Linked DNA regions of Saccharomyces cerevisiae S288C. The gene in region 1 interacts genetically with each later gene. Each region holds a gene or a part of one and is shown in the gene's direction. Other genes may lie near its edges. The genes, in order: CLB5, RRM3, SWI6 and CTF8.

Region 1 (8,169 bases):
TTCATATTACTTTGGCCTGTCTTACGAATGTTCTTCTGAATACCCAATTCTCCTGAGAACATCTATCATATAATTTTTGAGTTTAGGCAGACTTGAGGAAAAAGTGGGTTTTGAGGTGGTTGTTTGGAGTCTATCTCTGATAAGAATGGCTTTATTGCATATATTCTAACAGGCCCTCTCGTAGGTAAAGGAATCCCCAAAAAAGAGTGGGCAGCTTTACATGGTAAAATTACAATTCGTTCTTTCGTTTCACACGTCGGCACTTACTATCCTATTACATTATTAATCCTTACATTTCAGCTTCCACTAAATTCGATGGCCGTTTCTCGTCATTTATGTGATATCATAACACCATATATGGCAGTACATCAGGCATAAGCACTAATCCGTAGAAATTAGTTGATCCCAAGTTTAACGGACTCGAAGTCCTGTTAATTATGTGAGCCGAAGCGTAGGAATATTAATGTAATAGAATCAATAAATGACTGTATATTAAAACGAAGAACGAAAGAATTTTACCACTTTGTAAAATATTAGATTGCGTTGAGGGGCTTGTGGTCACCTGTCATAGGATGCCTATGTTCCCCCCAAAAATTTAATTCTGAAGTAAGTTTTTGTTGAGTACTTCAACTTTATTTCCTTCAATTGTGAAATGTTGATAACTAGCATCTATTACTATCCGATAACGCCAGGCGCCTTTATATCATATAATTAAGACACAAAAGGATAAAACAAAGGTGTTAACTATTCTGCATACTCACTATCGTAAACTGTCCTGCAAATCGTGTAAATATGTATTTCATTTTTTTTGCAGTGAAAAAAGGCATGTAAAATACCGCATCAAGTAACTCTACTCCGCCTGTGGTTTCAAGACTAACGGCTTGAGACAAAATGGGAAGAAATGATTGCAGAAAAGCCATATGTGTAATAGCAAAAAGCTGGATAGTGCTTACCAGATGTTTACCTTAATTTCTTGGTGAATTAGAGAAGTACAGAAGTTTTACTATTAATCCCACCATAGAAATTTGTATAGGAAAGTAGTTTATTGGAGTTATTGGATATACTGTGTAAACTATTTCTTGAAATTGTAATCTTAAGATGCTCTTCTTATTCTATTAAAAATAGAAAATGATTTTCATATTTATTTATTTATTTATATTTTGGCATTACTCTTCATCATTTTTTTCCCTCTAAGAAGCTTCCTTTCTTTTTATAAGGATAACAAAACCAAAAGGAATATTGGGTCAGATGAATGGACGCGAATGCAAGACAGAAGTCCAAATCACGTCAAGACAAAGAAAGAAAGAAAGAAAAACTAACACATTAATGTAGTTTTAAAATTTCAAATCCGAACAACAGAGCATAGGGTTTCGCAAACAAACTTAAATATATGCTAGAATAAAAATTAACTATCATCTATTGACTAGTATTCATATATGACGTAATAAAATGAAATGTAGATTCATTTTGTAGATTCCTATATCCTCAGAGAGAATTTTTGGTATATCCTATATGCATAATATTATAGTCTTTGCCAACAATCGAAACCAAACATATATCTTAAAATACACCACTTTCTCAAATAAATTCGTTAAATAACGGTGTGTTGAAATGTTTACCGTAACTTGTAACAGCTCTAACAACTCATACCTGCTATGTACTGATTCCAAGAAAAAAAAAATGGAAGGTCGGGATGAGCATATACAAGCACTAAGAAGAACAATACAGAACTCTACACGGTATTATTGTGCTACAAGCTCGAGTAAAACCGAGTGTTTTGACGATACTAACGTTGTTAAGAAAGTAACTTGTTATCAAACTCATTACCAACTTGTGATTAATTGGTGAATAATATGATAATTGTCGAAATTCCATTGTTGGTAAAGCCTATAATATTATGTATACAGATTATACTAGAAATTCTCTCGAGAATATAAGAATCCCCAAAATTGAATCGGTATTTCTACATACTAATATTACCATTACTTCTCCTTTCGTTTTATATGTTTCATTCCTATTACATTATCGATCTTTGCATTTCAGCTTCCATTATATTTGATGTCTGTTTTATGTCCCCACGTTACACCGCATGTGACAGTATACTAGTAACATGAGTGCTACCGAATAGATGACATTTTAGACTTTCATTCCAACAACTTGGTTGACAGAATGTTACGTACCCTATATCTAATCTATATGAGGCCTGAATCTAACTGAAAGGTGGAATTTCAGTAATTTATCAAGCTTTAATAAGTTTGGGTAGTTTAACTGTGCAAAAAGGTATTTACCTTACATACTGAATCTTGTCTGTTTGGTAGCGGCTGCTTTATGGGTGTTTCATAGATGTCCAAAATATATTGAGATATTGAGATATAACATTCTAGGATAATCAAAATTACCATAATTCAAAAGCTCGTATGGCGCAGTGGTAGCGCAGCAGATTGCAAATCTGTTGGTCCTTAGTTCGATCCTGAGTGCGAGCTTTCTTTTTTAGACTACTAATTTTATTTTGCTAGTCATTTTTTTTTTATACTCAAAAAGTAAAAAGACTACGAGTATATTCAAAGTAAAAAACGAACGTCAAACTATCTCGATTAAAACTTGTCATACTGTGGGTATCATATTCTGTGCCCTCAGTGAAAAGAACCAGCAAAAGAACGCGCATCTCGAGTGAAGACGCGCCCTTGATGGTACAAAATTTAACGGGAAGGCGCGTCGTGATGTTCACGCGCTTTGCCCACATTGGGATAGCGCCCACAGCATATCTGTGCTAAACTCACTTTTCCTAGTGACTGCCGATAGCTACTGCCATCTACCGCGAAGGGAACTTCATTTGCGTTCATCGGTTTATTAGAAGCTACTTGGAACTAATTCTTAAGCTTCTCAAGAAAAGTTTTTTTTCTGTCTATCTATTGAAGTCTTTTTGTCTTTGTACTTCAAGAGACTCAATCACCTAAAGCTTTTCACGGCCAATTAGTTGTCTCACACAAAGCAAAATAAGCTTAATAATTAGCAGTAACGCGCTTTTCCCTGTATTTAAAGCCGCTGAACACCTTTACTGAACAATGGGAGAGAACCACGACCATGAGCAGAGTATTAAAAGAAATTCTATGATTTATAATGAAAATGAGAGGCAGTTGTGCAATTCAAACCTAAAGATTCTTCAAAATAAAAGGGCCCTTTCAAAAAATGACAGCTCTAGTAAGCAGCAGGTTCAGGATTCTAAACCAAGAAGGGCTTTAACAGATGTACCAGTGAACAATAATCCTTTAAGCCAGAACAAGAGAATAGTAGCAGGGAGCAAGGCGGCCAAAGTACGAAGAGAAGAAAACATTAGACCTATTGTTAGCGCCGTTCAAAAAAGACAGATATATAACGATCGAACGGCAGCAGAGCAAGAAGAAGAAGAAGAAGAAGAAGGAGAAGATGATGATGCTGCTTCGATAGTGAACAAAAAACGCAGAATAGACGCTGAAGGAGTGAGTGAAATAGTAGGCTGGCAGGACCTAGATTATGTTGAAAAAGATGATACTGCAATGGTAGCAGAATATTCTGCTGAAATTTTTGCATTTTTATATAGAAGAGAATTAGAAACGTTACCATCGCACAACTATTTACTCGACAAAACGTCCAAGTATTATTTGAGGCCTTCCATGAGAACAATATTAGTGGATTGGCTGGTAGAGGTGCACGAAAAATTTCAATGCTATCCGGAAACGTTATTCCTATCCATAAACTTAATGGATAGATTTTTAGCTAAAAATAAAGTTACGATGAACAAGTTACAATTATTGGCAGTTACCTCACTTTTCATCGCGGCAAAATTTGAAGAGGTAAATTTGCCCAAACTAGCTGAATACGCTTATATCACTGACGGCGCGGCTTCTAAAAACGACATAAAAAATGCGGAAATGTTCATGCTCACTTCCTTAGAATTCAACATTGGTTGGCCCAACCCACTCAATTTCCTAAGGAGGATCTCCAAGGCAGATGATTACGATCCGGTTAATAGAAATATTGGTAAGTTTATTTTAGAGTATGCCTACTGCTGCCACCAATTCATTCATTTACCTCCATCTACCGTAAGCGCAATGGCAATGTATATAGCGAGAAGAATGACCAACAGAAACAAGAACGAGCTATGGAATGGAACACTACAGCATTACAGTGGTGGTATCGATCCAATACACGATGAAGCGTTTCAGTCTCTCTGCATTGATCTAGTCAAAGACATCGCTAGTTCCAAAACTCATTTAGATTCATTGATTTTGAAGTACAAGAAACCAAGGTATGGCTCTGTTTATTTCCAAACTTTCAAGTGGTGTACATCCGAAATGCATAGCAACTTTCAAAATCTATTTAATCTTAAGTAGATTAGTACTAGTAATGCTCATGAATTCGCATACTCTTTACATTTTCTTTTCTTTTTGCTGAACTAAAAGGAAAAAATTTTTTGCATCTATCTATCTATCTATATATATGTATATATAGTTTATAGTGATATGCGTGTTCACTTCAACATATATAATACCACCAGTATTACTACTATTATCATCATTAATATTAGAATTTTTTTTGTTTTTAAATTTATTCTTTTATTTTTATTATTATTATTATCATTATTACTATTAAAAAATTATTATTATTAATGTTATTCCAATGTTAATTATAATAACTATACTGAAATAATTTTAAAAGAAATGAAAAATGAGAAGAAAGCAGCATTTTTTAAGAGACTAAGGTTATGATATTTCCCATAATATCAACATCCGATACTGATGCTTTTCTTTGTCTACCCTCGCTACATGCATCCGGAAACGGTTGAACTGAAATAGAATAAAACTTATGGTACAAATCTGAAATTAAAATTAAAAAATTAAAATTAATGGTGTGGTGTTATTAGTGAGAATAAAAATGGAGTTTTATTTTGGAAATCTTAGGCTTCGAATGATTTTTTATCGTCAGTTTAAAAATAACAGAATGAAAGGCGCTAAAATTGGGTGTGAAATTTGTAAGAATAAATGGAAATGTGAAAAGAAATGATTAAAAAGCAGCCATACATTTTATATGGACATTTATCGATTATCGTTTTAGATATTTTAAGCATCTGCCCCTCTTCTCATTCATGCAAGGTCATTATATCATAGCCGTTTTTTCTAACCTTTAAAGCCCATTGGACGGAAATTATAGAAGCTTTCATAAATCTTCTAGATTGATATTTTCTATGAAATTCATCATGAACAATTGGACTCACTAGATAATCCATTATCATGTGACACACGGGCGCAAGTTCTTCTTTAGTATACCCGCCGCTATAGTGTATTAGATTTCCATCCCATTTACCTTTACCTAACATTTTTCTCGACATAAACATCGCAGCTGCTGCACACAATGAGGGTAGTATCCCAATAAATCTGAAATCTACCAATGATATCTCTAATAAGAATTTGGCAAGAGTTCGAGACTGTATATCGTAGTCATCTGCTTTCGAAATTCTTCTCAGAAAATTCATCGGATTGGGATAATTTAGGTTAAATTTCAATGTCTTTAAAATGAATTTCTCCCCTTCTTTGATTTCATCTTCCGTACATGCACCGTCTGTCTCTGATGCGAAATGTTTTATACTAGGAGAATAGACCTCTTCATATTTAGAGGCAATGAAAAGGCATGATGTGCCAACCAATTGTAACTTATCCAGTTGAACTAGCTCTTTACCTAAAAACCTGTCCATTATGTTAATGGCAAGATACAAAGTCTCCGGTAATAAGCCGAATTTATTATGGATTTTAACCAACCAATTAACTAGGATATCTCGATTTTGATGAATATTTCTATGCTGATAGAGATCTTCCTTCTTTGGAAGAGTAATGACCTCTAGTTGGTGGAGATATTCGAATATATCATTGACGTACTCGCTGACCATGAATGGATCATTTACATCTTCTGCATCTAGGTCTTCCCATTCATATTCTTCTTTGCCATTTTCATCGCACACTTTAAACTTTTTGGGCAGTTCTTGTTCAACAATTGTAGAAATTGGTCTTTTTTTTCCACTATCAGTTTCACTTTCGGTATTTCTAACTTGAAGTTGACTTCTAGCTGGATGAAGTTTTTCGTTTTCTACCGAGTTATGGACTACCTCAGTGCTTGATCCAACGCCTTTTAGGGGATCATGCTGGATTATCTCCTTCGCTGAGGAGGATTCTTGTAAACTTATATTTGCAGGCAGCTCAGCTCTCCCCTCCTTTATAGAAGTTAGCGCACCAAATTGCTGACTACTTGGGTCTTGGTTTTCTTTATCATCTAAAAGATTGTTTTTGGGGAGTTGGATACCATTTTCTTTCAGGGTTCTTTTCTCCTCTTGTGCGGCTGTTGATCTTGATACGCTTTCTCTAGTAAATTGAGGAATCCGACTTCCCTCCTTCTTTACTGAGTTTAGTGTAGATTTGAAATTTGTTAGGGCTGGATTATTCGCATTACTCTTTTGAAATGTCGTATTTGTTACATTGTTTAAGGCCAACCTTTGTACATTCCTCAAAAACCTTGATGAACTAGTATTCTGTGAGTTTTCTGTGTTTTCTATTGGGTTGGACATCTATAAGATCAATGAAGAGAGAGAGGGGGTAATCAATAAAAGGCTTCTTGGAAGGAAATAGCAAGTTATAAAAAAACTTCTGACAAACGAGCGAATGAAGTTTTTATACAATGATTAAAATTTCTCCAATGTCGTTAAAAGAATCTAAAAGGACAAAAATACAAAAGGAAAACAGATGCTCAATCAAAGAACCGCTTCAACAGATATTCTATGTCAATTTATTGAATAGCTCGCAGTAGGTTTTTATTATACACTGGCTCAATCAAAAAGAAAGAAAAAAAGAAAGAATAAATAACCAGTATCCTTTAGCTATATTTCTTTCGCTTTTCAGAAGTATCAATTCGAGAATACTTTACTTCTTGAGGTATAGGACAAAATTAATACCAGAAAGATTCAATTTTAGTAAATTTTTGGATCTTTTCAAAAGTCTAGCTAAATTGGCAAAAAATTAACCTAAAAAAAATCTATTTTATTATATTTTGATTTTTTTTCCTTTCTAAATTTTTGAGAAAGGATCTATTTCTCTTTTCCCCAAAGAGGTTATATTTTCCATTAAGAGCAAAATTTCTGAAACTCTATGCCCATGCTATGAGATGCTAGCTGTAACGAGTTTGCTATTTCCTCGAGGGACAGGCACCGAAGTTCATCCATATCGCGAACTTCGTTGTTGACCTTTTCCTGATTCGGTCGCTATATTTACAAATCTCCTTTTTTGATTAGTGCCTTGAACTTGCACTTTCCTAAACGGGCTCAATATGTAAACATATTATACAAATAGTTACCCGCATTTGGAATAAAATCTGTCTTTTGGCGGCTATTTCCGCGTGTTTGATTAGAAGGAGTAGTGGTCATTCTAATAATTCCACTGTGCTAATGCACTCGCACTTAATTTTTAAACTTCCGATGCATCAACACTAATGATCATAGCATAAAACGCGTAGAAGGCGATCTTAAGTTTGAGTCCCCCTAAGGCACCTTAGTAGACGGTCAAGAACAGGGTGTGAATATGGGCGATATTCAAGCGAGATTAGGACTTATAAAACAACAACAACAGGGATAACAAAACACTTGACCCCTATTTTTGTAATAAAACCGTTTTCAAGGTAAGGCAGTTAGTAATTTATGTACAACAGAAATTTCTGCCATTTCTTTCACGACAATAACGTAGGATAAGGCCATGAAAAACAAAAATACTAAAGTGCTTATCTAATAAAAGGAAAGGATTAAGCAGTTCCTGCCCATATTTTGGAAAGGCCGTAGCTTAGTTTCCCTGAAATTTACTTCAAGAAAGGTCTGCTTAGCAGTCACATATGTCAATTGTGGGCTGTTTAGTCAAAACCACTTGGAGGTTGATGAATTGATAGTATTTTGGTAAATGAACTAAATATACATTATCAATAAGACGTTGGAGGGGCTTTCTGTATAAATTCACCGAACACTCCCAAATTATGATAAACTTGCTTAAGCATCTTTTCGAAATGCAGTGCATGTGTTAAGTGACAAGCTAAAGGTAAGACATTACGATAATACTCTGTATAGATCGTAGTAACATGAATTATGAAGCATATAAAAAT
Region 2 (9,137 bases), on another chromosome or scaffold:
AAGAGGGTTTCAATTCTTATGTATTTTTCCGTTTGATTTTCAAAAGTGGTTTGAAACTGTATAGGAGCTTCAGCTGAATTGTGACCTAGTGAGATTTCTAATGGTAGAGAAAGGTTTTTAGGGTTTAAGCTATATTTTGGGAAGTCCTTAACGACAATAGCGTTCTTTGCGGTCATTATCTTTGAATGACAATTGTAAATGGCATTATGGTCACGCAAGTTCAGGTACTTTTGAAAAGACATTGCGAATCTCTCATCATTGAATGAATCAAACTGAGAAACTGCCATTGACGAAGTTATTAATGGACTCATTTCGAGTATACCGATTTGATCCAATGAAGCTATAAAGAATTCATAGATTAACGATTGGTTTGCAAATTTTTCAAGCATTTTCTTGTAAAATTTTGTCGGACTTTTTGATAGTTGCAATTGTGAACTTTTGGATTCAAAATGGTGGTTTTGTCTCATGCTTTCACCACGTTCTCTTGACATAACTTTGCCGCCACCCTTAGTACATGGACCATTCAGGAATGAAACTATATGACAGTAGGCTGACAAACTGCACTGAGACGCCAGTACGGATGAAACGAACAGCGCTAATCCGGTGCAACGCTTGTCCCTTTTAGAACTGATATTCACTTTGTTTGCAATCTTGCATATTTCCCGTAGCAATTTTCTTAAAGAACCCTGAGTAGATTTATCAAACCAGTATGATTCTTGATTGATTTCTGAAATTTTTTTCTCGAAGTAACTGGCATTTAATTTATCAAGATTATATTTGGTCATAAATTCATTTATTGAAAATACAGCATCACGTCTGTGATTCACAGCATTGTGTAAAATCACATGACCTGATTGCTGAATAGTAATTATTGATAGTGGCTCTTGTTGTCTTGTGATGTAATTATTACATAGAATGGAAACTAAATAATTTAGCTCATGAGGATCGCAAATAGCGTCTATAATCATAATGGTCCGTCTTGAAAGTATTTCTTTCTTTGCAGAAGTCAATGTATAGGTGTTGGAAGGTACCAGTGGCAATTCAGCATTTGAGTTTGATTGGTTGCAGAATAGACAAGTCCAAACATTCTGTTCTCGTAGGGAACAAGCCATCGAATAATAGGCGCCACATTTGGTGCATTTTAGATTTTGGTCATAGTTCTGCGTCACAGCATCGCTGGAAAAGGGCTCATATAAGAAATTAGTTGGAGAACACATAGGCACTTCCTTGGCCAAATTTGGTGCTAGATTGCAGTATTGTACAAATACAGGATTCAGTACCTGATCACTATTTTTACTCTTGATATTTTTTTTCCTTAAAAAAAATCAGAAGACAATAATGATAGAAAAAAACTAGGAATTCTTGAATTCATATGCATGGAAGAAAAAGGAATACAGGGAACAGACTTTTCAAAGCGAACAAACAGACCTTAACCGATGGCCGATTTCTTATTGAGACCAATTAAGCAACGTCATAGAAACGAGGACAAGTACGTGTCGGTGGACGCTGCAGACGGATCGGTGTCTAAAATTGAGCCCATCGCAGATTTTGTAATTAAGACAAAACTATTATCCGCTAATGGGCCGGAAAAACTGCAAGATGGCAGGAAGGTGTTCATCAATGTTTGTCACTCTCCGTTAGTGCCCAAACCTGAGGTCGATTTTAATGCAAGGATAGTGTTCCCGCTCATCATCCAAAACGAATGGGAGATTCCTATTATTACATCCTGCTACCGCATGGACCATGACAAGAAGGGGCAGGAGTGCTATGTGTGGGATTGCTGCATAAATAGCGATTGCTCGCGCTGGATATGCGATGATATCCAACTGCGAGAGATACTGGTCGAATGGTGCTTGGAGTCATGTGAGATCCGAGATTCGGTGGTATTGTGCAGAGATCGCATTGCATTCCCCAAGATGAAGAAGAAGGGCGCTGAGCTTCCTGCACTAGAGGTATTGAATGATGAGTTACATCAAGATTACAAGGCAAAAATGCATAAAATCATAGAAGAGGAGGCCGGAGACCCGATGAGTATATTGAGAGGAAGGAATGACGATGGCGATGATAATAATGATCCCGACGATGGAACACTACCACCATTGTTCCCTATCGAGAACAAAATCTCCGGAGCCAAGATAGAGGAGATTGATAAGAACGAGATTGCTCACAGAAACCTGAAACAGGCACCTGCACCTGCACCTGCACCGCACGAGCAGCAGGAGGACGTGCCGGAATACGAGGTAAAGATGAAGAGGTTCAAAGGGGCCGCCTACAAGCTGCGAATTCTTATTGAGAACAAAGCTCCGAACTCGAAGCCGGACCGGTTCTCTCCGAGCTACAACTTCGCAGAGAATATTTTATACATTAACGGTAAGCTGAGCATACCTTTGCCGCGCGACATAGTCGTGAATGCAGCAGATATCAAGATTTTCCATATCCGCAAAGAACGCACACTATATATATATATATAAACTAACATTTCGAGTATTCTTTTGGTTTTTGTTGTGACTAATACGAACGAATATATAAAAGCGGGAAAAAGGAGAGAGATATGATGTGCATCTATAACAGAATTTTTTTTTTTTTTTTTAATCCGGTAAAAAAAAGGGAATATTCTCAAAATTGCGGAGGGAAAGCGATGTTTTCTCTATGTGCTACGTATTCACTCACACTGTAGCCCAAAACATCGTGAATCTTCTCACTGGGTAAGCCCTTGATCTTCGCAAGCTCCAGACTCGTATAATTGGAGCGGACGCATCCAACAGACTGAATCGGCTTCGAGATATCCAATTCGCCATTGGGTAACCGCTGGCCTATTTTGAGATCAACGCATTCAAGTTCGTGGAAGTTGTCTCGGACTTCGATCACGGCGTTTGGAGTCAGACTAGCCATATCCTTTGACAAAAGTTTATCATAGCTGTTCTCGTCGATGATAATGGCGCCCTTGGTAATGAGCCCGTGCAGAATCCAAAATTCCCTGTTCTTAAGCTTGTGTTTGTTGTCATTAGCTAAGAACTTGGTGTGCATGGGAACATCGTAGCGACGCAACTGTTCGAGCTCCGTATCCTGAAGATCGAGAAACTGCTGCTGTGTGCCGTTTCCGATATGGCGCGGAGGGCGGAAGTGATGCTGAATGTAGTCAACGATCTTCGGGACGTACTCTGGACGGTCGCTCTTCATCACAATAGTCTCGATACCGGCATTAGAGGCGAGGTCGGCGGCTATGAGTTTGGTGCGCATTCCGCCCGTGCCAACCTCGGAGCCTGAACCACTGGAAGTGTTGACGCCCGGAAGGCCCTCTGATAGCTCTGGCACGAGAACAATAGGACGAGCATCCGGATTAGTGCGCGGATTGTCTGTATATAGGCAGTCCACATCTGTGAGCAAGAACAGGAAATCCGCCCCTACAAGAGCAGCGGTAATGGCAGAAAGCGTGTCGTTATCGCCGAACTCGATCTCGCTAATGGATAGCGTATCGTTTTCGTTGACTATAGGGATGACACCCATGGCCAGCAGTTCGTTGATTGTATTGCGTGCGTTATTGTACTGGTTCCAACGCAGTATATCGTTACGCGTGAGCAGGATCTGCGCTGTTTGCTCGCCATACTGGGAAAACAGCATGTTCCAGCGCGCGATGAGACGGCCTTGTCCGACAGCGGCAATCGCTTGCACTTCAGACAACTGCTTAGGCTTGTGCGGAATGTTGAGAGCGTCCAAACCAACGGCAATGCCGCCGCTGGATACGATGATCACTTTGTGGCCCATGCGCTTAAGATTCGTCACGGTCTCGACGATTAACGTCATGATGGACAACTTTGGCTCTTTTGTGCTCTCGTCGACGAGCGACGAACTGCCCAGCTTGATAACGATAGTATAAGCTTTTGTCATTACACCCTTCGATATGCCTTTTCTCTTCCTTTTGACGAACAAAATCAAAAACAAAAAAAGTGGTAATGAATAATCATATGCACGATGCACACTCTATATATATATAAATGAATGTATGCACGAATGTGTATGTGTATGCATACATAAAAGCACATGAAGGGCAGCAAACTTTTTCAAATGCAAAAATGCATGCCCGTTTGGTGCCGTACGGGCACGTGTATTATTTTGCCGGTGGCATGCCACATGGCGAAACCCTTAAAATTACCAACATAATTGGCTAGAAGACTGGGTGTGATGCGGGGGTGGGGGTGTGCATCTCCCCTATACGTCATTCGACCCTGAAGGAGTTTCATGATGTATGGGTCTCAGCATTGCGCTTGCGTGCCGCTCCGAGAATACGGCGTCTATCACCATGAAAAACGGCGTATCCTTGACACACACTCATCATTACCAACGCGCTAGTTATACCCAACCATAAGCCGCCTACACCCAGATGATACAGGAATGCTAACACATATGCCATGGGCACACCTAGGCAGTAGAATGCGACTAGGTTGATGTACCCACCTATTTTTTTGTCTCCCTTGACCACGTAGGCATCCGGCGGTGGACGCATTAAAGGCATCGAATAATTGCATGAACGCAAGAAGAGGTAGTGTGTCCACGACCATCTTCACTACAGCGCTCTCAGTAGAAAATAGACTTGCGATTTGTTCCTTATAACGGCAGATAACGAACATGTTCATTGAGGAGCACACAAAGGACAACAATAAGGACACGCGGCACGTGATCATGCAGCTGTCGTATAGCGACGCGCCGATAAAATTGGCTACACGTGTACTGGTAGAAACGGAGATAGAGAAAGGCACTTGGTATGCAAGAGACGCAATCGTAGCCACAATCGACTGAGCGCCCAAGGCATCGGTGCCCAGATGGGAAGCGAAAATTGTCAACACTTCAAAGCCGAGGAACTCTGCCTCCACCATCACCACGCCGGGAATAGCTAGGTTAATCATCTTACGCCAGTTCTTAAATGCTTGTTCCTTAGGGATGATACCATTCCAGCATTTGAGTGGTCTCTCCTTGTGCTTGGTGGTCATTGCGTATATTAGTAATCCGAGCGTCATCAACCAGTAGTTGATCACAACCGATAATGGCGCACCAAGGTACCCAATCCCAATCTTGTCATTCCAAACAAGTAAGTAGTTCATCAATGCGTTCAAGGGTGCGCACACAAAGAGCACGATTGTGGATGCATGGAATATACCTTGACATTGTAGGAACCTCTTACCACATTCAAAAAGGATGAATCCTGGCACACCGAATGCGGTTACACGTAGATAGTTAGCCGCTAGCGCGCATAGTTCTCTCTCCGGAATCATTAGTGCTAGGATCTTTTCCGACCAAACAAACCAAACATACATCATTGGCAAGAACGCCAAGATGGTGATCACAGCACATCTCTGCACTAGCACACCCACCAAGTGGTAGTTTTTGGCACCGTATGCCTGCGCACACAGTGTGTCCAGACATGTACACAGACCTTGAATAGCAGCAAGACCCGTGATGTTAGCAGTCATAGAACCGAGTGTAACACCACCTAGCTCTTTCGTCCCTAAATGTGAGACGGAGAAAATAGATGCTAGTGACAACGAATTTTGCAAGATAAAGGTGAAGATTAGCGGCAACGCATTCATCGTGATCACTTGCGTTTCTCTCTTAAAAGTTGTGCTGATTTTCTGACCACTCTCGATCGCGCTCTCCCACGTATTTGCAATCTCAGCTGGTCTTTCTTCCTCGTCCGGTCCAATTGCTTGGCCATGTCCGTGACTTTCTATATCTCCCCCACCGTTGCCGTGTTGAGAGAGCAGTTTGTTGTCTATTAGCAGGTCCCGTTCTTCGTCAAGCAACCGCTTACGGTCGTGAGAGTCATAACCTTGTTGCCACGCTTCTTGTTGCAATGTCCGCGAATTGTTGGCATCTAACAACGAATGGTATTCACCTTCCCTCTCCGTCTCATCGTCATTGCCGGTATAGGAAGGTTCTTCTTCACTACCCTCTTGCTCTTCGCCCTCAATTAAGTTTTCTTCTGACTCCTGTGGGATGTAGTCTGCAGGCGTGAAAAGCCCTGCCTTCCCGACACTGGTGGAGTAGATAATCGATGATCTTCTGTCGTTGGTGGTATGACTAAATTGTTTAGACATAGTCTTCTTTCGTCTTCTTCTTCTATCTTCTTCACCGCTAACACAGACCCTTGACAAATCTGAAAAAGTACTTTTTAAGCCGGTCTATCTTCCCTTACCGGATTTATTTCTTTTGCCAGGGTTCTTTACTATTTTGTAGTTATCATAAATTTTTTTTTTCTTTTTAAGTTGCCGTGCTCTTCTATTTTTTTAGTCTTTTTTTTTTTTATTATTTTTTTTTTTTTCATTTTCCCTATAACGGGGCTAACCCGAATGCGCATGCATTATTCCGATATTATTACGTCAAAGAATATGTAAATAAACATCATCTCGAACAATAAGCAGAGGAGAACAAGCTCAAAAGTCGAGAGATTTGTTCTTATAAGACATCCCGATGTTCAGGTCGCATGCCTCCGGTAACAAGAAGCAATGGTCTAAAAGATCCTCAAATGGTAGCACACCTGCTGCTTCGGCATCTGGCTCTCACGCATACAGGCAACAAACGTTGTCTTCGTTCTTTATGGGTTGCGGCAAAAAATCTGCTGCTGCTTCAAAAAACAGCACGACAATAATTGATTTGGAAAGCGGTGACGAAGGTAACCGTAATATAACAGCACCTCCTAGGCCAAGATTAATACGGAATAATTCGTCTTCCTTATTCTCGCAGAGTCAAGGTTCGTTTGGAGATGATGATCCCGACGCAGAATTCAAAAAATTGGTAGATGTGCCGAGACTCAATAGCTATAAAAAGTCTAGCAGATCGCTGTCGATGACCAGCTCTCTTCATAAGACTGCCTCTGCGTCCACGACTCAGAAAACATACCATTTTGATGAGGATGAGACTTTGCGAGAGGTTACTAGCGTGAAATCCAATTCTAGACAATTATCGTTCACTAGTACAATTAATATTGAAGATTCTAGCATGAAACTTTCTACTGATTCAGAAAGACCAGCCAAGAGGTCTAAACCTTCTATGGAGTTTCAAGGTTTAAAGCTCACAGTACCAAAGAAAATAAAACCACTGCTAAGAAAGACAGTATCAAATATGGACTCAATGAACCACCGAAGTGCGTCTTCGCCAGTGGTACTTACAATGGAGCAAGAGAGAGTGGTTAATTTAATCGTCAAAAAAAGAACAAATGTCTTTTACACCGGTAGTGCGGGTACAGGTAAGTCGGTCATTTTGCAAACGATCATAAGACAATTGAGCTCTTTGTATGGGAAAGAATCAATTGCAATTACCGCCTCAACTGGGCTAGCGGCAGTGACTATTGGTGGTTCCACATTGCATAAGTGGTCTGGTATAGGAATCGGGAACAAAACTATCGACCAATTGGTGAAAAAAATACAATCACAAAAGGACTTATTGGCCGCATGGAGGTATACAAAAGTTTTGATAATTGATGAAATTTCTATGGTCGATGGTAATCTGTTGGATAAATTAGAGCAAATCGCAAGGAGAATTCGGAAGAACGACGATCCCTTTGGTGGTATTCAATTGGTCCTGACAGGCGATTTTTTTCAACTACCACCAGTTGCTAAGAAGGACGAGCATAACGTTGTGAAATTTTGTTTTGAAAGTGAAATGTGGAAACGGTGCATTCAAAAAACGATTTTACTGACAAAGGTTTTCAGACAACAGGATAACAAACTAATTGATATTCTAAATGCCATAAGATACGGAGAGCTGACTGTCGACATTGCTAAAACAATAAGGAACCTAAATAGGGATATAGACTATGCCGATGGAATTGCTCCTACAGAACTGTATGCCACAAGAAGAGAAGTTGAACTATCCAACGTAAAGAAATTACAGTCTCTACCTGGTGATTTATATGAGTTTAAAGCTGTAGATAACGCGCCCGAGAGATACCAAGCGATACTAGATTCTTCATTAATGGTGGAAAAAGTTGTCGCATTGAAGGAAGATGCACAGGTAATGATGTTGAAAAATAAGCCTGATGTAGAATTAGTTAATGGATCATTGGGAAAAGTTTTGTTTTTTGTTACAGAATCGCTGGTGGTGAAAATGAAGGAAATTTACAAGATTGTGGATGACGAAGTTGTCATGGACATGAGATTAGTGAGTCGGGTCATTGGTAATCCCTTGTTAAAGGAATCAAAGGAGTTTCGTCAAGATTTGAATGCCAGGCCATTAGCTAGATTGGAACGTTTGAAAATCTTGATAAACTATGCAGTTAAGATCTCTCCGCATAAGGAAAAATTCCCCTATGTGAGGTGGACAGTGGGTAAAAACAAGTACATACATGAGCTCATGGTCCCAGAGCGCTTTCCCATTGATATTCCCAGAGAAAATGTCGGGTTAGAAAGAACTCAGATTCCATTAATGCTATGCTGGGCACTGTCCATTCATAAGGCACAGGGTCAAACTATTCAAAGACTAAAGGTCGACTTGAGGAGAATTTTCGAAGCCGGCCAAGTTTATGTTGCACTGTCAAGAGCGGTAACTATGGACACCTTACAGGTCCTAAACTTTGATCCAGGAAAGATTCGCACCAATGAAAGAGTAAAAGATTTCTATAAACGTTTAGAAACTTTGAAATGACTTGCAACGAATAAATGCATATACTCTAGTTGAAGTTTTCTTTTCTTGTTCTATACAGGTTCGAATACTTGTGAGCCTATCTGTATAATTTAACAGAATCCCGAAATATTCATCTAGAAGCCATCTATTTAGCTAAGCCTACGTATGCGGCGATTTTTATATTATCTTTTTTTTTTTTTATAGAAGACTGCGAAATGTTGGCAGAATGGAAAGTTTCAGTGTTAAAAATAGAAACTGAAAAAGGAGATCTAGCCAGGAATATATCGAAAAAAAAAGTGAGGGAAATCAGATCCTACACAAATATTTAGATTTAATTGAAGACCCTGGTCTGCCAGATATATATATATATTAGACGAACTGTGCATTCAGTCAGCAAATCTAGGCCACAGATTTTCTTATTGAAGCTATCAAAATAGTAGAAATAATTGAAGGGCGTGTATAACAATTCTGGGAGATGGCTGATAAGATAGAGAGGCATACTTTCAAGGTCTTCAATCAAG
Region 3 (9,142 bases), on another chromosome or scaffold:
CGACCACTTATGTTCTGTTCTAGAGGGCGCGTCCGGGTCAGTCATCAACAAAGCGAGTTTATCCTCGGCTGACAATTGGCTTTTATCGAAGGGCGTGAACTTGATGGTAGGAGCGGCTTGCGTAGCTTCCATTGGCATGGGATTGCCCAATTTGATGTCGTCAGAATCAACGTACGAAACCGACAACTCACCAAGAATCTCGAACGCCAAGTCCTTGACGGTGTCCTTAATGATGTCCTCTTTGTTCAGTTTAGCAACGATGGCACTAGACATAATATATATTTCTATTACTAAGTACTCGGATGGGTACCGAAAGTGGCAGATGGGCAGTGTTTACTCAAACAATTGATGGCAACATTCAATTCCTCACCTGGTGCGCACTTCCAATAATGAGCACGCTTGGCACTTTTATATTGTTCAAAAAAATGTCAGGCAAGATCTTTTGAAAAAAAGGTACCGAAACGGACGTAAGACGGAAATAGAATTTGAAGATAAAGTTATATATCACTACACACGAATACTTTCTTTTTTTTTTTTCACAGGAAAACTGTGGTGGCGCCCTTGCCTACTAGTGCATTTCTTTTTTCGGGTTCTTGTCTCGAGGAAATTTTAGCCTCATCGTAGTTTTTCACTCTGGTATCGATGAAAAAGGGAAGAGTAAAAAGTTTTCCGTTTAGTACTTAATGGGATTGGTTTGGGACGTATATATCGACTGGTGTTGTCTGTTATTCATCGTTGTTTTTCGGTTAGCTTCGAAAAAAAAATAGAGTAAAAACCAGGAATTTACCCTAAAAACAAGAAAAAATAAGATAAACGAAAATATGGCCGGTACATTTTTATTCACTTCTGAATCCGTTGGTGAAGGTCACCCAGATAAGATCTGTGACCAAGTTTCCGACGCCATCTTGGACGCTTGTTTAGCCGAGGACCCTCACTCCAAAGTTGCGTGTGAAACCGCGGCAAAGACTGGTATGATTATGGTCTTTGGTGAAATTACTACCAAGGCACAGTTGGATTACCAAAAAATCGTCAGAGACACCATCAAGAAGATTGGTTACGATGATTCCGCCAAGGGTTTCGACTATAAGACCTGTAACGTCCTTGTCGCCATTGAGCAACAATCTCCAGATATCGCCCAAGGTGTCCACGAGGAGAAGGATTTGGAAGACATCGGTGCCGGTGACCAAGGTATCATGTTTGGTTACGCCACAGATGAAACTCCAGAGGGTTTGCCTTTGACTATTCTTTTGGCTCATAAACTAAACATGGCCATGGCTGACGCGAGAAGAGATGGCTCTTTAGCGTGGTTGAGACCAGACACCAAGACTCAAGTCACCGTCGAATACAAGGATGACCACGGTAGATGGGTTCCACAAAGAATCGACACCGTCGTCGTCTCCGCTCAACATGCTGACGAAATCACGACCGAGGACTTAAGAGCGCAACTAAAGTCCGAGATCATTGAAAAAGTCATCCCAAGAGACATGTTGGACGAAAACACCAAATACTTTATCCAACCTTCCGGTAGATTCGTCATCGGTGGTCCTCAAGGTGACGCTGGTTTGACCGGTAGAAAGATCATCGTCGACGCTTACGGTGGTGCCTCATCCGTCGGTGGTGGTGCCTTCTCCGGTAAGGACTACTCTAAGGTTGATCGTTCTGCCGCTTATGCCGCTAGATGGGTTGCCAAGTCCCTAGTTGCCGCTGGTTTATGTAAGAGAGTTCAAGTTCAATTTTCTTATGCCATCGGTATTGCGGAACCATTGTCCTTGCACGTTGACACCTATGGTACTGCGACCAAGTCTGACGAAGAAATTATCGACATTATCAGCAAGAACTTTGACTTGAGACCTGGTGTATTGGTCAAGGAGTTGGACTTAGCTAGACCAATCTACTTGCCAACCGCTTCTTATGGCCATTTCACAAACCAAGAATACCCATGGGAAAAGCCTAAGACTTTGAAGTTCTAAGCTTTTTTCCTTTTGGACTTTTTTCTGCCTTCAACCTCCCATGTTTTCATTTGCTCAACACAAGTCAACATGTACATTATACCGTATTTGATGCAGGGACGCAATACCATCATATTCTTGATATAGACTCATTTTTCTCAAATCAAATTTGTATCGATTTCATTTTGCATTATACAGGATTCCTTTTCCTTTCTAACATTTAATACGTAACTACTAATATTAATATATACCTCCTTCAACGGATCAACAAACCAAACTTTATCTTATTCAAATAGAATTTAACAGATCCAACGCCTTAGTTAACTCATCTTTGGCGGTGGGCAGGTCTTCATAATTCAATGCGCTTATGGCGTATTTGGCAAGTTTTTGAATTTGCTCTATTTTACTGGCCCTGTCCATAATTTTTGTCAACTCATCCTTTGTATACGATTTATGCTCTGCTGCAGCAGGTTCTGATGGTGCAGAAGGGCGCGTAAGATCCACTTCTTTCTTCACAACTTGTTGTTCGTCTTTTGTTATTGCATCTTCGTTCTTGTCGACGGTCTGTTCTTCTTCGTTTACGCTATCGGCATCATCAATAAATTCAGGTACCTCATCCACAGGCTCGTATGATGTTGTTTGGTCTTTTGGGGCTAGGCCTTCGACTTTATCATTATTATTGTTTTCCAAATCGCTTGTCTGGTGATCAACATCTTCATCCTTAATCTCCTCGCTATCATCCGCAAAATCTGCATAATCTAACGTTTTCTCGTCGCTGGAACCAATTTCACCCTTTGCCAATTTACTCAAATAAATTTTGCAATACTTAATTCGTTTTTGTAATGAATTTGTACTCGTTTCACTTATATTTTCCTTCCACAGGTGTAAAATGCATGAAAATAAATCAATACAACACCAAAGTGATCTTTTTAACATAACATCCCAGGGACCATCTTTTAGCTGTTTCAGTTTCTCGTTATACAACGACATTGTAAAATTTAGCATATAAATTTTGGCTTTTTCTTGATCATGTATTAGCGTGTTCATAACGTGTAAGCTTTTGTCACTGTCTTCTGCTTCACTCTCGCCGCCAATCTCCTTCTTAAACGCTTCAATAGTATCAAGAAGTTCTGTCGCTAGTGCGGTCATCTCTTGCGACCGATCTTCTTCACTCAGTATCAATTCCACCGCATATAACTGAAGATAGTATCCGATGATCCCTAACCCAACTTTGTCAAAATCCTTCGCTGTAGCGACAACCCTTGCAGCGTTACTAGCCATAGAATTTATTTAAAATGTGGACAATTAGTTTCTAAAAATTGAATCAAATAAAATAAGAAAGCTTATTGTTCCTTTTTTTGTCTTCATCTGGACCGTTTGGATAAGATCATTCACCAAATCTTAGTTTTTTTTTTTAGTTTCCTTCTCCAACGATTTCATAATAATAAAAAAAAACAACAAAAAACACGATTGAGAAACATCAATATGAACTAAGCAATAGCTAAAAAAAAAAGAATAATAAAGGGGAACACAGTATAATTCTCGAGAGGATGGCGTTGGAAGAAGTGGTACGATACTTAGGACCTCACAATGAGATCCCTTTGACACTCACTAGAGACTCGGAGACTGGCCATTTCCTCCTGAAACATTTTCTGCCCATTTTGCAGCAATATCATGACACGGGGAATATTAACGAGACCAACCCCGATAGTTTCCCCACTGATGAGGAAAGAAATAAATTACTGGCACATTATGGAATTGCTGTAAATACAGACGACCGAGGTGAGTTATGGATAGAGCTGGAAAAATGTTTACAATTATTAAACATGCTAAATTTATTCGGTTTGTTCCAGGATGCATTCGAATTTGAGGAGCCTGAAACAGATCAGGATGAAGAAGATCCCAGCCATTCGAAACTACCAGAAAACAAGACCAAAAGTGAAAATTCTAAGGATAATATCAGCTCAAAGAGGATTAATAATTTACAAGATATGAGCCTGGATTCTGATGCACACAGAGAATTAGGCTCTCCTTTAAAAAAACTAAAAATAGATACCTCTGTAATAGATGCTGAGAGTGACTCCACTCCGAATACTGCCAGAGGCAAGCCTAACGATGATATTAATAAGGGCCCTAGCGGCGACAATGAAAATAATGGCACTGATGACAATGACAGAACCGCTGGACCTATCATAACATTCACTCATGACCTAACTTCTGACTTTTTAAGCAGTCCACTGAAAATCATGAAAGCACTACCTTCTCCAGTTGTAAATGATAATGAACAGAAGATGAAACTAGAGGCATTCTTACAACGGTTGTTATTTCCAGAAATTCAAGAAATGCCTACATCCCTTAATAATGACAGCAGTAATAGAAATTCAGAAGGGGGGAGCTCAAACCAACAACAACAGCACGTATCATTTGATAGCCTTTTGCAAGAGGTAAACGACGCTTTTCCTAATACTCAATTAAATCTTAATATTCCTGTAGATGAGCATGGAAACACACCATTACATTGGCTGACTTCAATAGCAAACCTGGAATTAGTGAAACACCTGGTTAAGCATGGTTCAAACAGATTATATGGTGATAATATGGGGGAGTCATGCCTAGTGAAAGCTGTCAAATCAGTAAATAATTACGACTCTGGTACTTTTGAGGCACTTCTAGATTATTTATATCCATGTTTAATTTTGGAAGACTCAATGAATAGAACAATTTTGCACCATATCATTATTACGTCTGGTATGACTGGCTGTTCAGCAGCTGCGAAATATTATTTAGATATTTTAATGGGATGGATTGTCAAGAAACAAAATAGACCCATTCAAAGTGGTACTAACGAAAAAGAAAGCAAACCGAATGACAAAAATGGGGAAAGAAAGGACTCTATACTAGAAAATTTGGACCTGAAATGGATAATAGCAAACATGCTCAATGCGCAGGACTCTAATGGCGATACTTGCTTGAACATTGCAGCAAGATTGGGAAACATTTCAATAGTAGACGCTTTATTAGATTACGGTGCTGACCCATTTATTGCAAACAAATCAGGGTTGAGACCCGTGGATTTTGGGGCAGGTACTTCAAAATTACAAAATACGAACGGCGGTGACGAAAACTCGAAGATGGTCTCTAAGGGTGATTACGACGGTCAAAAAAATGGAAAGGCCAAAAAAATAAGGTCTCAACTGTTGAAAAACCCACCTGAAACAACTTCGTTAATTAATGATGTCCAAAATTTACTGAATTCAATCTCGAAAGATTATGAGAATGAAACAGTGCAATATAATGAGAAATTAGAAAAACTACACAAGGAATTGAACGAACAGCGAGAAGAATTAGCTAATTCTAGAGAACAACTAGCAAATGTGAAGCAATTGAAAGATGAATACTCACTAATGCAAGAGCAATTGACCAATTTAAAAGCAGGAATTGAAGAAGAAGAGGAAAGTTTTAGGGAAGAGAGCAAAAAGCTAGGAATAATTGCAGATGAAAGTTCAGGTATTGATTGGGACTCTAGCGAATATGATGCAGATGAACCCTTCAAAGTAGAGTTCCTTTCAGATTTCTTGGAGGATAAATTACAAAAGAATTATGAAGGCGATATTTCCAAACTATTAGAAGCGGAGTCGAAAGAGCAGATAATGGAACAGATACGAAATCAACTTCCCGCAGAAAAAATCCAATCGATGCTTCCACCAACGGTCTTATTGAAGGCAAGAATAAATGCATACAAGCGGAATGATAAACACCTAACCAATGTATTGGATACAATCAGCACCAAACAATCAGAATTAGAGAATAAATTTAGAAGAGTGTTATCTTTATGTTTGAAAATCGACGAAAATAAAGTTGACAATATGCTTGATGGTTTGTTACAGGCCATATCTTCTGAAGACCCACAAGACATTGACACTGACGAAATGCAAGATTTTTTAAAAAAGCATGCTTCATGAGGGCATGTGATTTCATTGCATTAACTTTTATGACTTTATTTGAAGTTATTTTTTTGTTTTAGCGCTTTATTTACTTTTATTTTACTACATAACTGTATTCTTACAAAATTTTTACGTACTCAGATGGGATATATAGGCACTTGATGTTTTATTTTCTTGTTCTTATCATATATCCGATGGAATAAAATGTTCTATTTTGCTGGCTTTTTCCAAAAATATTGTTTATGTGTCCTTCTACAAGATCTTAAGCCTGTCCTTCCACCTTTTAATGAACTCACCAAGTTTCTTCTCTCGTAATCATCATCGTTTTCTAAATCGTAGAAATACTCTTCGTCCAATGGTTTGCCGGCGGCGTCCTTACCATGACGGTAAATGACACCGACACATTTCGCGTCGCTCAAAATCGAACGTAATTCATCTCTTGAAAGCTCAGAAATTTGTGAGTTCACCTGCTGTAATTGGAATAATGGCGTCTGCTGGACGTTTGCAAAAGCTAGGTGATTGGTTAAAATATGCTGTAGATGCATAACATCAATATTTCTTCTAGATAGCTCATCCAAATTCTCTTTCACCGATTTTTTTGGCTTTGAAGGTAAGACCCTCTTGTTAAGTTTTGGTTTCTTCATAGTCATAGGATTTTTATCAGATGATAGTGAATCTTGTCTCAGGGTTTGTTCCTCGTGATCAACAGAGGAGACGGATGAAAGTGGGGACGATTTAGAATTTAGGAAGTGGTTTAGCATCCTTTCTGCAACGCCAGAATCACTACCAATTGAGATTTTGTTGCTATCCTTAAGTATTTTTTTGGGTCTGTCCATCGAAGTGTCAGTAAAAATCAATGGATGCTTCCTTATACTACCCATATGTTTCGTTTCACTTTCACTTTCAAATTCAGCTTTCTTCTCGAATCTTAACGGCTCTGAAGAAGAGTTTTTTTCTTTTAACGAAATGCGAAGTAAAACCTGCCTAAAATCCAACATGATACCCTTGTAATATGTCATATAAACGGTGTCTCCCTCTTCCAGAGTGAAATTAATGAATCCTCCCTCGTCTTGAATTTCTTTAACACATTTTTCGTTAGAGAATCTGGGAACAAGCCTATATGCCCTATTATTGTTATTCATGGTATCCTTTAATTGATAACAATCAAATTGCTTACGATAGGTAACGATTAATCCGTTCATACTGAAGCAGTGAATCTTCACTTCATTTGTTTGTGGTAAATAAGTTATACTAGCGTGTACTCTGGATATGAACTTATTCTTACAGAGCGCAACATCACATTGCGAACTATTGCGCCCTACAGTAATGGTGCTGATCTTGCTAGGATCTAGTTCAGCATTGATGACTCTAGTATGCCTTGAAGGAGAAGAAAGTTTGGAAGAAAACTTGGGTGACGTTTCTGCCAACTGGCCAGGAAAAGCTGGAGAGGAAGGGATGGCGTCAACCTTATTCGACCTAACGGGAGACGAAACCCTTCCTATACTGGAAGAAGGAAATGGAGTTGGATAATCTCCTTTCCCGAAATTTCCAATTGATTCTGACGCAGTTTTACCAGCTTTCTCATAATTGGATGAGGGACAATTAGGCTGCTGTTTGTAATTTGGTGGAGAGTACGGATCCACTGTCCTGTAGGGGGACGAAGGAAATTGCGAGCTCATGCCTTCTTGTGATTATTAATCTTTGATGTGTCGTGGCAGATGTATATGGACTTTTGTACGTAAAGTAGATTGCTATAATTCAATTCTAAATGAATGAAAGTAGAGAAAGAGTTTCCATTGATGAATTTTAGTTTACGTCGACTGCCGCTGTTCATTCTCATCAAAACACGAAAGCAAACCATAGAGATGAACTTAAGAAAAAAGGGCCACGGGATTTTTTTTTCGCGTTTTGGCGTTTTCATATCAAAAAAAAAAAACCATATTAACATCTGTACATTATTATTAACTAAACATCCGTACACAAAAGGTTTTCCAAGACAAAACGTTGTCGAGACTATTCTCTTTCGAAGAAATTCTAAAACACACTTCGGCAGGCCGGCAACAAGAAGGCGGCCCCTTGGGGAAAGGGAAGTCAATCCGTCTGCCCGTTCTCTAGGCTGATGGTAGGCAGGGCGATGCCATACTGGTGAAGTGTGGTCCGTCGGTCTGTCTCCTCCAAACGTTGATGTTCTCCTGGTAGCTTTCTCATCACCGTCAATATTACAAGTGTAAGAATGAGAAATGCTCTATATGAGGGTACTATTAAATTTCAAAAATGTTTACTTTTAAGAGGTATTTGCTAAAGCCTCATACAAATAATATAGACAAAAATGGGTAGTATGTAGTAGGACATTGAGAATAAAACTGTGAACCTGTTATTGACGACCGTGGAGAAATGTTATGATTATCTGAAGAGAAATATCGGAACGCATGCACACCAAATTTATACTTAGCAAGACTGGACGATACGAGACTGGTATACTTGTATGAAGACAGAATAGTGAACGAAAGACATGCGCATGACAACAAATTTACCGTATAGAAGAAATATTCTGCTTGTATGCCTGAGGGAACTCGAAAGGATCAATTTCAATGGCGTTGTAACAGTCACGAAAAAAGTGTAACTATAAGATAAAGCAAATTGTACTAACAAACTTAACCAAATTGCACAACAATTTGATTTTCTTTTTAAATAGAGGGTACTCCTTCATTCGGTAAACGTCACAACAAGTCCCACACTTTGTGTAACAGATGTGGTCGTCGTTCTTTCCATGTTCAAAAGAAGACCTGTTCCTCCTGTGGTTATCCAGCTGCTAAGACCAGATCTTACAACTGGGGTGCCAAGGCTAAGAGAAGACACACTACTGGTACTGGTAGAATGAGATACTTGAAACACGTTTCAAGAAGATTCAAGAACGGTTTCCAAACCGGCTCTGCTTCTAAGGCTTCTGCTTAATTTTTATACTAAGATCTATTTCTTTAAATGAAAACTCAATAATTAGAGACCTTATATAATAACCAACTGCAAAAAAACTTCTAAACAATTAGTTAACAAATCTCCAGCCTTTTTTTAATATATCTTTATTCATATGTAACGCCTTTGAGTGCTTACGGGAAAAGTAGAATTGATAGTTTCGTAATTCATGACCGGAAAAAGTGAAAAATTATTGTTCGATGAATATATACAGAGATGTCTTGAACTGTTTTTGCCAGCATCATTCGTTATAGGGAGCAAAGTTAGTGCAACCCA
Region 4 (3,455 bases), on another chromosome or scaffold:
GATTATTTTAAACAAGAACTAAGGTAAAGTCTCCTTCTGGGAGCAACCCTTACAAGCAACCACACACCCACATACTCAATTGATAATGTCTGCTATCCCAGAAAACGCCAACGTTACCGTCTTAAACAAGAACGAAAAGAAAGCCAGAGAATTGATTGGCAAATTGGGTTTGAAGCAAATCCCAGGTATCATCAGAGTCACTTTCAGGAAGAAGGACAACCAAATCTATGCTATTGAAAAGCCAGAAGTCTTCAGATCTGCCGGTGGTAACTACGTTGTCTTCGGTGAAGCTAAGGTTGACAACTTTACCCAAAAGCTAGCCGCTGCTCAACAACAAGCTCAAGCTAGCGGTATTATGCCATCTAACGAAGACGTCGCTACCAAGTCCCCAGAAGACATCCAAGCTGACATGCAAGCCGCCGCAGAAGGCAGTGTCAACGCCGCAGCAGAAGAAGATGACGAAGAAGGTGAAGTTGATGCCGGTGACTTGAATAAGGATGATATCGAGTTAGTCGTTCAACAAACTAACGTTTCCAAAAACCAAGCCATCAAAGCCCTGAAAGCTCACAATGGTGACTTAGTCAACGCTATCATGTCCTTGTCTAAATAATGATATAAAAATATATTATATAGGGGTACGTAGTTATTCTAACGCAAAATCATTTTGTTTTTTCCTTCTCCGACTGCGAAGGCTGTGCCGGTTGTTTTGCTTCAATGGCGTCTTCTCTTTCCTTTACTTCGTCTATTTTGTGGTTACAGTGAGGACAGATAAAGATGATTGGCTTACTGGCCAATCTGTAGCAATTGGATTTCCAATGACACTGTGGACATATGATTTTTTTGAAGGGAGAGAGCGAACTTGTTGAGTCCAATTCATTACCGCCTGCCAGTACGCTGATGATTTTGTCGAACCATGCATCGCTGTCTTCCTTCTTTAGGCCCTTTACATGGCTTTCCTTCTTAAATTTTTCTAGCTCTGTCTTTAGATTGTTTAATTCTTGGTATTTAGCATTTAATTCATCATCTAGAAGTACCATGGCATCGTCGTTTTGATCTTCACCGGAAGAAAACCGTTGGATGATTGAGCTTGTAGCATTATAGTGGGTCTCTTCCTTTAACTTTTCCAGTTTCTTTTGATGAATTGCACGGAGTTTTGCCAACTTGCGTAACCTATTGTTGTTATAAAATGCATAGAGTTTGGTTAATGCCCATTTGAACAAGATTAGCGAGCCTATGCATAGTAGCGCAGTCACCACAAGGTATGGTCGATAACCATGGTACTCCCAATATGTGTAGCTCAGGGCCAATACCGTTAACGCAATACCATAAAAGGTCAGATTTGATTGCCATTGACTCAAGATGGATTGGCTTTTCTTTAACGCGACATCTAATTGATGGATCTGTGAAGTTATTTGTGATAAATCTGCGGTATACTTCGTCACAAAGTCCTTATCATTGCGAGAGCCTCGGACCCATTTACCTAATGCACTAAACATATTTATGTTATTCTTTTATATCCGATCTCCTCTTTGTATGATTTTTGTTTTCTTAAAATATACATGTCAACGTTAGCATCTTGAATTTCATTTTTCCTTTAATCTTTTTTAGTAAGCTAACCACTAATATAGCCAAAGGAGTGATAGAAAAAAGAATTATCACTATCATTCAGCCCAATAAACAGCTGAAAAGAATGCCTAGTGTAGATATAGATGCTAGTCAATGGCAGAAGTTGACACAGTCAAGAGAAAAGCAGACCACGGTGATAACACCGCTTGGGATGATGATGCTGGAGATTCAAGGTGAACTAGAGTTGCCTAAGGACTTTGCGTCGCTGGCGAGGAGAGATTCTCCAAATGAGGGAAGGTTCAGTGAACAGGACGGCGAAACTTTAATACGATTTGGGTCGTTACAGATTGACGGAGAGAGGGCCACATTGTTTGTCGGCAAGAAACAGCGTTTACTGGGGAAGGTGACAAAGCTAGACGTACCGATGGGTATAATGCATTTCAATTCGAAAGATAATAAGGTCGAATTAGTTGATGTAATGAAATATAAGGTTATCTTTAAGGATAGGCCTCTACCTATTATGTAAGTACTTAGTTATTGTTCGGAGTTGTTTGTTTATGTTATTTGGCGCAGACTTCACGCTCTGTGTAAAGTGTATATATAATAAAACCCAAGAAGAACGGACAAGATGATAGATAAAACCATATTGAACTTGTACTCTTCTTCTTGTTGGGTTGGAACCAATTCATCATCGTATCTGGATCTTTCTTTAACTTTCAAGAAAATTGGAGTTTCATTTGGCTTCACGTTAGGAGGTAATTTATCCTGGTACATTTCTTCCATAAACTGTTCGATCTTGGAGATTTGAATGTTCAATTTTAAGAAATTTGGATCTTGCACAGCCAATTTAGATTTGATATCACGTAAGTAATAGTCAAAAATCTCGACACAGCCACGCAAAGTCCTTGATTTCAAAATTAAATAGCAGGTAGTACCCTTACGAATCTTTACATTGCCATGTAGCACTTCACGGTTGTTGAATACCAAAGCCAAGGTTGCAATGGCCATAACTTGGGGAATGGCACAAAATTGGAAAGTGGATTGCTCGTGGATACCGGCCAAATAAGTCAACACATCGATAACATGACTCAATGCGTTTAAGACGAGGTGGTTTATACAGTCCAACCCCAGTTGTTCGTTTTCAGGTTTCATGAAGTCCTTCAACTGAGGAGCGTATTGTGACCAGATTTCCTTGGGCCAGAAGGATCTACCATCGACCAAATCTTCATTGTAATCTCTGATGATGTTGGTTTTTTGTAGGAAAAGACCCATGCTTTCATACAATTGCTCATTAGAATACAAAGATTCGTTGGCAAACTTGGCAATGACAATCAAACGGGTCAAACCATCACCGACCAAACCAGCTACGTAGTGACAGTACACGTCGTAGTCGTGGACGGTTTGCAACCCATTCAAGTTGTAATTTTCATCTAAGATGTAGTCGGCCATACCATTACCCATTTTCTCGGTGATCTCCTTGATGACTTCTTGATATTCTGGTTTCAATTTGTGGAATTCAATAAGAATCGATTCGAAATCTGTCAAAACGGCTCTGTCCTTCACATCGGGGGCATTTCCGTCGAAACTCCATTTAGTTAACAACAATTTCTCGTGGAAGTGACGCAACAAGTCAATTTTCAAATCGTGTTCGATGGACATATCGTCTTCGATGGTATCCAAAGCCCTTAAAATCAAATAAAAGAGAGTAACACAGTTTCTCAATTCTGGATGCAGCTCTCTGATCACAGCAGCAAACGATCTGGAGGTCAAGTTCAACAGTTCGAAACAGTGCAAGAGATATGGAGACGTGGACTGATCATAGATGGAGAATAGCGGTGTTCTGCAAAACTTCAGCTTCAAAGCTGCCTTCATCTCGACCGGATGCAATG

The links.
Region 2: mutations in CLB5 (region 1) and RRM3 together harm fitness more than expected from each alone (negative genetic interaction), as found in Saccharomyces cerevisiae (5 studies listed by BioGRID, with this or other methods).
Region 3: mutations in CLB5 (region 1) and SWI6 together harm fitness more than expected from each alone (negative genetic interaction), as found in Saccharomyces cerevisiae (5 studies listed by BioGRID, with this or other methods).
Region 4: mutations in CLB5 (region 1) and CTF8 together harm fitness more than expected from each alone (negative genetic interaction), as found in Saccharomyces cerevisiae (5 studies listed by BioGRID, with this or other methods).

What each region holds. Positions count from the first base shown.
Region 1 is NC_001148.4:770,079-778,247, reverse strand, and holds CLB5 (B-type cyclin CLB5), read left to right. Parts: upstream 1-3,065; coding exon 3,066-4,373; downstream 4,374-8,169. Other genes in the region: B-type cyclin CLB2, read right to left, coding at 5,120-6,595. UniProt on the Saccharomyces cerevisiae protein: Required for efficient progression through S phase and possibly for the normal progression through meiosis. Interacts with CDC28.
Region 2 is NC_001140.6:170,299-179,435, reverse strand, and holds RRM3 (DNA helicase), read left to right. Parts: upstream 1-6,465; coding exon 6,466-8,637; downstream 8,638-9,137. Other genes in the region: GTPase-activating protein NEL1, read right to left, coding at 1-1,217; PIH1 (Pih1p), read left to right, coding at 1,437-2,471; YHR033W (putative glutamate 5-kinase), read right to left, coding at 2,617-3,888; ERC1 (Erc1p), read right to left, coding at 4,347-6,092; mitogen-activated serine/threonine-protein kinase SLT2, read left to right, coding at 9,092-9,137. UniProt on the Saccharomyces cerevisiae protein: 5' to 3' DNA replicative helicase recruited to paused replisomes to promote fork progression throughout nonhistone protein-DNA complexes, naturally occurring impediments that are encountered in each S phase where replication forks pauses.
Region 3 is NC_001144.5:514,441-523,582, forward strand, and holds SWI6 (transcriptional regulator SWI6), read left to right. Parts: upstream 1-3,499; coding exon 3,500-5,911; downstream 5,912-9,142. Other genes in the region: YLR179C (uncharacterized protein), read right to left, coding at 1-273; methionine adenosyltransferase SAM1, read left to right, coding at 822-1,970; VTA1 (Vta1p), read right to left, coding at 2,238-3,230; TOS4 (Tos4p), read right to left, coding at 6,103-7,572; 60S ribosomal protein eL37 RPL37A, read left to right, coding at 8,223-8,229, 8,589-8,848. UniProt on the Saccharomyces cerevisiae protein: Part of a complex involved in cell-cycle-dependent transcription. SWI4 and SWI6 are required for formation of the cell-cycle box factor-DNA complex. The repeated element in the upstream region of HO (5'-CACGAAAA-3') is called the cell cycle box (CCB).
Region 4 is NC_001140.6:484,867-488,321, reverse strand, and holds CTF8 (Ctf8p), read left to right. Parts: upstream 1-1,690; coding exon 1,691-2,092; downstream 2,093-3,455. Other genes in the region: EGD2 (Egd2p), read left to right, coding at 86-610; LNP1 (Lnp1p), read right to left, coding at 660-1,496; ERG9 (bifunctional farnesyl-diphosphate farnesyltransferase/squalene synthase), read right to left, coding at 2,143-3,455. UniProt on the Saccharomyces cerevisiae protein: Essential for the fidelity of chromosome transmission. Required for the DNA replication block checkpoint.